Linked DNA regions of Tribolium castaneum. The protein of the gene in region 1 purifies or fractionates together with the protein of each later gene. This does not show direct contact. Links are inferred from orthologs where the notes say so. Each region holds a gene or a part of one and is shown in the gene's direction. Other genes may lie near its edges. The genes, in order: kay and E3 ubiquitin-protein ligase COP1.

Region 1 (3,925 bases):
TGCTTGCCAATATACAGTTTCGGATAGTGAATAGAGCATAGAATAGAAAATAGATTATATAAAGATAATGTAGAATAGAAAAAAAGAAAACACAAAAAGCAGGAATAGAAACAAAAAACAGAGAGATGTAGGAATTCTCTAAGTATAGAGGATAGAAGACAGAAAAAGAAGCAAATCGAATAAAAACAATTTGACTGCAGTAAAAAGAAGACAATAATTTATTTTGTTGGTGAATTATTTTATCGGTGAATTAATTTATAGATACGGAACTGGAGCGTTTTTTTACCAAATAATTTTATATGTATTTAAAAATTCCGTGTTTTAATTCACCTGAAGCAACTTCTATATCTTACTTTTATATTTTACTAGACCCCTTATTTGGAGTCTGCTGTTTTGTTTCATTATGTATGTATTTGTCTTTTTTTGTTTCATTCTATCGAGCATTTTCTTTTTCTACCGTTATGAAACCTTGCACATATTTATCTTTTTTTCGAGTAGTCCACTGCAGTGAATTTATACTATTTTTAGTTCTTATCGTATGTTGTATATTCCTTCTTTAATGTTTATCTGATTTAGAAATGTCACCAAAAAAAGTAAATTGTACAATTTTTCTATCAACAGAAATGATATAGTGATAAAAATCAGAATATGGAGACATCTTATTTGAGAGAACCCCCACAAAGCTTGTATAACTGGTTGCCTGCCACGACTAATAAATACAATGACCTCTTCTTTTGTGTAAACTGGTGTAAATAAACGATTACTTTACTTTAAAAAACAATAACTTTTTGTATCTTTTTTTGTAGAAAAAATTTAGATCGTGGGTGTGTACCCTGAAGTAGGTGTGCATTTTTAGTGAATCATTTTATTTATTCGTGCCAATTAGTAATCTTCCGTAACAAACAGCTAGGTGTGAAGGAAGTTCAATAATTGCAGTCAACATCATCTTATGTACCTGAAAAATTACAATTCAAATGATTAGTTTAGCACCAAATGTTTACTCCACATGCCTTATTTCCAAATTACCTGCCTTAATTAACACTATTGTGTTATTCCACCTTTATCAAGCTCATTAAACTTGATTTTGAATAGGCATGAATGCATTGTTTGTGCGGTGTATATATCGGTGCACTATTATATGTTTTTTATCTGAAACGTTTAAGCATAAAAAACATACAAAGTGAGTCATTCTTATCAATTGTGGTTGCGTTTCCGGTAAAAAAAATCAAGCAAAACACACAAAAATCGCTCCTCTTCAAAATTAAATAACATGCAGCAAATCAAAAGCGAGATGAGTCATCGTTCTGCGAAAACATTATCCTCCTGGCTAGAACGTGGCAGCTTCGTGCGGCTCCGCCCCCGTTCGTGTGATTTCGCTAGTTGTGGGTTCGCCATTGGCGCAAAGTTCTTTAGTCATTCGGATATTTTTAGTTCTGACATCATAGCCAGTGGTTCTGGGAAAGGGTTTCCCTTCGTGAGTCATCCGGTCGTGTTTTCTTATGATTTTGCGCGGATTCGGGGGGCTGTCGGCGTAACAAGTGTCCGTTGGTGTGCTGGGGCGCAGTCATCGGGGCGAACCACCGCTGGAACAACAGCTGTTCGCTCAAGGTTGTACAACTCTCGCTATCAGGACCATTGATAACGAAATGAAGCTGGAGCTGAGCGATGGGATGTCCAACAACTCGGACTTCTCCAACGACAGCCAGAACTCGCAGATGTCGACGGCGGACTTCATGACTTCGATGGGCAACGGAGTCCTTTTGACGCCCACGACCACGGTAAGTTGGGCTTCCTTTTATGGGTGTTGATTCGACCATCTGGGCTCGACCTTCACCGACTGTCGTTAAAGTCCAATTAGACTGCACATGAATTGGATTTTGTTGTAAAGGAGACCGAGTGTAAACAATAAATTAACTTTCTCTTCTGGCTTTGTTCGCTTTGAGACTCTACGCCCACTTTGGGAAATGTGCTTAACACGGATCTAACCTCAAAAGTCGATTGTTTTGGACTAATGCCATTTGATTATTTGTGTTTGCAAAACATTTTTTAGTTGGGAAACGTGGAAAAACATTGGTTTTATGGCCTGTCTCATTAACACTGAAATGGGCTTTAAATAATACGTTTTTAATAACTTCCTAATTAATATTCTTATGTTAATTGTGGCAAAATGACAATTTCTGTAATTGATTTTATGATGGAAATGAAACTGCAATAATAAGCTCTTGTAAAAACGGCCAATTTCTGTCAAAAATATTGATACTTTTTTGCATGTTTTAAAATTGAAAGCAAAAATATTTACTTATTGAATCTGTTCTGTGATTTTTTCGTGTTTTTTGTAACTGACATTTTAATAATAATGTTTGTTTAGAACGAATTACTGAAATAGTTTTCAGGACTTTACAATATGCTAAAAAAAGGACAGTAAGAACAATAGATTGTCAAAAAAATATTGGTAACACTGAGTTAATGAATGTGAATGACAATTGAGTATAAAATTTTGACATTTTATGATCAGTATTGTCAACTTTAGATTTCAAATTTGTTACTAAATATCCGACAAAAATCAGTGGATAATTGGAAAATAAGTTATAAAATCTGAAGTTTCTATAATAAGATAAGATTTTAGCTAAAAAAAGTAAAATAAATATCTAGTATTCAATTTTTTTAATCTATTTTTCTTATATTTCATTTTACAATCGCTTGACGATGTAAATTTTTTGAGATTTTTTTCTGAATCGCAACCCCCCAGACCCCAGGGGCGGATCCAGCAATTAATTTTTCCAAATATTCTGGATTTCGAACGTTTTGGGATTGAGTTACCCAAGAAAAAAAGTCCAGAAAGTTTTCTTATTTCTTAAGCTCTAACCTTCTTCATTTTTTAGAATTAAAACTAGATATTTCAAATGATAAATTTTATTTTAAATGTTTATACATTATAATGGCTATAAAACAACTTTTTTTATAATCCTATAAAAAAATTGGGCTGTAGGGGAAAGTGGGGTAAAATGGGCTAAAATTTTACCTTAAAGAATATAAAGAAAACAATAGAAATAAAAAAGTGTTCTCGCATCACTTAAATAACGCTAGTTTACACGATTTATTATATACCTTAATTGAAAGTCATCATTTCTTATAGATTATAATTTATGAGGCACTAAGTTAAGAAAAATTAAAAAAAAATGCAACACGTCAGATTTAAGAAATACCGATATTTTATTGTTAAATAGCCAAATAAAAAATTTTAAATGAATGCTTTTGCGGTATTTTTTGTACTTTTTTTAATATCAGGTCAGGTCAGGTCAGGTCAAATTTTTACATTGTTTTTTGTACTTTTTTGGGTCAGTTTCCCTTATAAAAAAATAAAAGGGGATCAAAGGTGTACTATAAAAGAAGTTATTATTTTATATTTATTTATTATTTGTAAACTAGTGTAATTGAAAAGTTGGAAATACAAATATTTGAAAAGAGTCGGAAAATACTAGGTATGTAGGTGGGTAATTGCCTCAGTTGTTAAAAATGTACAGAAATATAATTGCTTTTGTATTGAAAAAACTGAAAAATTATTAGATTCTAGACTACTAAAATTATCTACGGGATTTTACATGAAAACTTGCTATTCTAGAGAATTTCTCCCTTACATATTATTTGACTAACTCAGCTATACAATAGAATGATCAAATTTTGAAACACAAATTTGATTGTGTTCTTGTATTTTTTTTCTATAAAGTCATTGCATTTTTTTATTAGCAAAGAAACAGAATCTGTGTAAAAAATTCCAAACAAACTTTGATGTTTCGATGTTTATGTGGATTAAGGGGGCAAGAAGCAACAAATATAAAACGGCTAGACTACAAACAAATAATATTCCAAATTTTATTGTCTGTCATGTCATATATTAATCACATATTTTGTTGAACTTCTGGAG
Region 2 (3,925 bases), on another chromosome or scaffold:
AAATCCATGTCATATAATCTCATTTTTTCGGCAACCCAACGCGAAAACAGAAGCAAACAAGCTTGAAGGGGGACCCCGTTATCAACTTGGTGTTGCTGTATTCCTGTAAAAAATCATCAGTGGGGCTTGGGGCACAATGTTTTTTACCTGTGAGCTCGGTACAAAAGTCGCTCAATTTGGGATTCTCGACTGGCATTACGTATTGCTGGAACTCTGCGATTATTTTAGCGTTTTTTACGTCGTAAAGAACGACCGGAAATTCGATTATTTCGGCCGGATTTTTTCTCGGGTCGCCGTTACTCCAGCAAGTGGCTTCAAAGTCAAGGACGAGGAGGTAGTCAAAAGGCTGGGGAGTCGTGGCCTTAGCGGTTGAATAAATTACTTCTAAAGCACCCAGTTTTCTGAAATTGCAATAATAAGCTTATCTTTAATTTAATTATAATTTTTCTCACCGGGCCAACTCTCGAGTGCTCATTTTACTAAAATATTTCACATGTAAGGTACAAAAAACTTAATCTAAAAGTGGAGCACTTGGTCAAAGAAAGTCTCACATAACCTCAATAAACAAAATAAAGAAAATAGCAGAAATACAGGTGATATGGCATTAGTACGCCTCGATGGTACCGCTTTTTAAGTTACAAAACCCTTTAGCGGAAAACATGGACAACACAAATTGTGTCTTAATTAACTGAATAAAAAATGTATTTTGAATTTGCCGCCATTTTTTTTCCACCAAGTCACAAAAACTAAGGTGATTCCACTCCCCAATAATTTTTTTATCTAATACAGTTATCAGCGCAAATTAAAGGCTCGCACTTTTTCTGAGCATTTTATTTAAATACTGTCGATTGCATACAAAATAGACCTAAAGATAAGGCGTTATCTACGAATATCCAACCTTTCCAGAAACATTTTTTGTGCGTTAGGAGCGCCTCCTGGCGTTTGTCACTCCTGTCGGCCCGGCAGACCTGTCAAAAATCAATTTTGTGATTTGTTGATTTTTGGATTTTCAACACTAAAGTTCCACATAATCGAAAGACGAAACGTATACGATTTTTAAACCACCCTCAACCAAATCACCCCACACTCAAACCACCCATATTTTGTGTCACCATCAAGTATGGCTTTATCTCTAACGTGTAAAAAGTTACTCAGGTTATCCGTCTCCAGCAGATACTTTTTCAGACCATGCTCTTCAGCCTGCCCGGAAAAAGTAGGTTTTATCATTAGAAGCAATGCAATTGAGTGATTTGCGTTCGTTTCGTTTTAGAAAGGCTTAGTCTTGGGCGTGTACAGTGATGATGAATGTGAAGGGTTGGAGCTAACCCCCGCTGCTGAAAAGTACAACCAGAAGTGTCAAGGCAGGCTTTTAGAACAAATTAAACTGTAAGTAGCGTCATAGCGTTTTTATTGCATTAGAGGACAAGTCCAAGCGGAATTAAACATTACATAATGTGAAAACATGGGAGTAATTAATGAAACTTGGCACAAAATAGAAAGCTTTATCGTTTTTTATACACGTAGCGATTATTTTATTGTCTTGGCCCTTTTCGTGCAAATTGAAAAACCTGACCTGAAACTTGATCCCGTCAGTTTAACCAATCCAGTAGTATTGAGTGTTTTCAAGTAACAATTTAGGCGATTTCTGTCCCCGTTTCAGGTTTTCGGGTCAGGAACCGTCCGAATTGTCGCTCCTCAATACTACTCCAGTTCTTGTTTCAGGTCGATGTTTTTCTCTTAACTACCTCTAAGTCGTCAAAATGGCTTCAAGCCGCGACGGTCGTAGTAGTTCCGCCTCTTCGCACAGTAGTTCGAACGTGCCGACAAATCGCTCGTCGATTCGCACCCCAAAGCGTCAGCGTTCGACAGCCGGGGGCGGCTCCTTCGAGGAGAAAACGACCGATTTTTCCTGCCCCGTCTGCTTCAACCTGATCGAGGAGGCTTACATTACGAAATGTGGCCACACGTTCTGCTACACCTGCATTTTAAAATCGATCGAAGCCCTCAAACGCTGCCCCAAATGCAACGCCCCGGTCACCGGCGAAGACATGATCTTCCCGAACTTCCTCCTCAACGAACTGATCAGAAAGCACAAGACTCGCTTGAACAACTTCGAGGCTTTGGGCTTGAACCGCGACAGTTCGGGGGAGTTCGGGACGTCGGCCGACGGTTTACGGGATTTTGTGGCAACGGAATCGCAGAATTTAACGTTGCCGGACGTTAACGTAATGTTGGAGGTTCTGACGCAACGGAAGCAACTCCTGGAGGCGGAGTCGTGTGCCGCGCAAAACCGCCTCCTTTTGGAGTTTTTGAAGCACTTGCTTAAGCAAAAGAAGGAGCGGCAGGCGCAGATTATCAAGGAGATTGCGATTATTGAGCATGACATTGAGGAGGTTTACAATAAGTTGAAGGAGGTGCATAGCAAGTGCCCGACTTTGGAGGATGTGGAGCGGACGGTGGCGTCGGCGGCGGACAATGCCGATGTCAGTGCGATGAAGAAGGAAATGATCGATTTGATTGATACTATAGGTAGTTCGACTGGTCGCAAAGATGACACGACGAATCCCGACGCCCCGCTTCGGCTAGGTTCGACCTCGCTGGCGATGCGCCGGCGGCGGATGCACGCCCACTTTGACGACTTCGTCGACTGTTACTTCACCTCACGCTCCAAAGACTTGTTCTTCGGCAAAGACGGGGTCGATAAGACTAAGACTACTATTAATACGGGTCTCGACGAATTCCGGGAGAATTTGATCAAATTCTCGCGCTATAACTCGCTCCGGGTCCTCGCAACGTTGAACTACTCGAGTGATTTGTTCAACAATTCGACCATAGTCTCGAGTATCGAATTCGATAAGGATAACGAGTTCCTGGCGATTGCTGGAGTGACGAAAAAGATCAAAGTTTTCGATTACGGTGCTGTGATTAAGGATACGGTCGATATACACTATCCCTGTATTGAAATGCTCTCCAAGTCGAAAATCTCGTGCGTGAGTTGGAACACGTACCATAAGAGTATTCTGGCGAGTAGTGATTACGAAGGGACTGTGACGATTTGGGACGCTTCGACCGGTCAGCGCACCAAGACCTACCAAGAGCATGAGAAGCGCTGTTGGAGTGTTGATTTCAATGAGGTTGATACTCGGTTGATCGCCTCGGGTTCGGACGATGCGCGCGTTAAGTTATACTCGCTCAACGGTGAGCACTCGATCGCGACTCTCGAAGCCAAAGCGAACGTTTGTTGTGTTAAGTTCAATCCGAGGAGTTCTTGTCACTTAGCGTTCGGTAGCGCTGATCATTGTGTTCATTACTACGACTTGAGGAACATGAAGGAGGCGGTGGCCGTGTTCAAGGGCCACAAGAAGGCAGTGAGTTACGTCAAGTTTCTCAATAGTGAGGATATCGTGTCGGCGTCGACCGACTCGCAGCTTAAATTGTGGAATGTTAATACTCCGTATTGCCTTCGGTCGTTTGTCGGACACATTAACGAGAAGAATTTTATCGGATTGGCGACGGACGGCGATTATGTCGCCTGCGGCTCGGAGAATAACGCCATGTATATTTATTACAAAGGCTTGAGTAAAAAGTTGTTTAGTTATAAGTTTGAAGCGATTCAAGGGGTCTTGGATCAGGAAAGGCGGGAGGATGATATGAACGAATTCGTTTCGGCTGTTTGCTGGAAGCAGAATTCGAATGTTGTCGTTGCGGCGAACAGTCAAGGGATTATTAATATTTTGGAACTGGTTTAGGTGATAGTCTAGCACGGCATTAGGACAATCAACTGTTCTTGGCATATCCCGGATTGTAAATTTCGTTACAGGATGTGCACAGGAAAAATCGGTTTAATAACTAAAACTTGGATGGGGGACTATTTTATTTTTTACGTACAGGGGGCGAAAATATTTACTGTTTTTATAGCGTTACT

Evidence for each region.
Region 2: the proteins of kay (region 1) and E3 ubiquitin-protein ligase COP1 purify together in Homo sapiens (affinity purification with mass spectrometry; 3 studies listed by BioGRID and IntAct, counting the BioPlex papers as one, with this or other methods). This does not show direct contact. The link is inferred for Tribolium castaneum from reciprocal best matches to the Homo sapiens genes FOSL2 and COP1.

What each region holds. Positions count from the first base shown.
Region 1 is NC_087396.1:20,446,570-20,450,494, reverse strand, and holds the start of kay (kayak), read left to right. Parts: upstream 1-1,433; 5' UTR 1,434-1,646; coding exon 1,647-1,778; intron 1,779-3,925.
Region 2 is NC_087397.1:2,837,163-2,841,087, forward strand, and holds the start of E3 ubiquitin-protein ligase COP1, read left to right. Parts: upstream 1-1,213; intron 1,214-1,270; coding exon of another isoform or gene 1,271-1,386; intron 1,387-1,722; 5' UTR 1,723-1,760; coding exon 1,761-3,749; 3' UTR 3,750-3,925. UniProt on the Homo sapiens protein: E3 ubiquitin-protein ligase that mediates ubiquitination and subsequent proteasomal degradation of target proteins.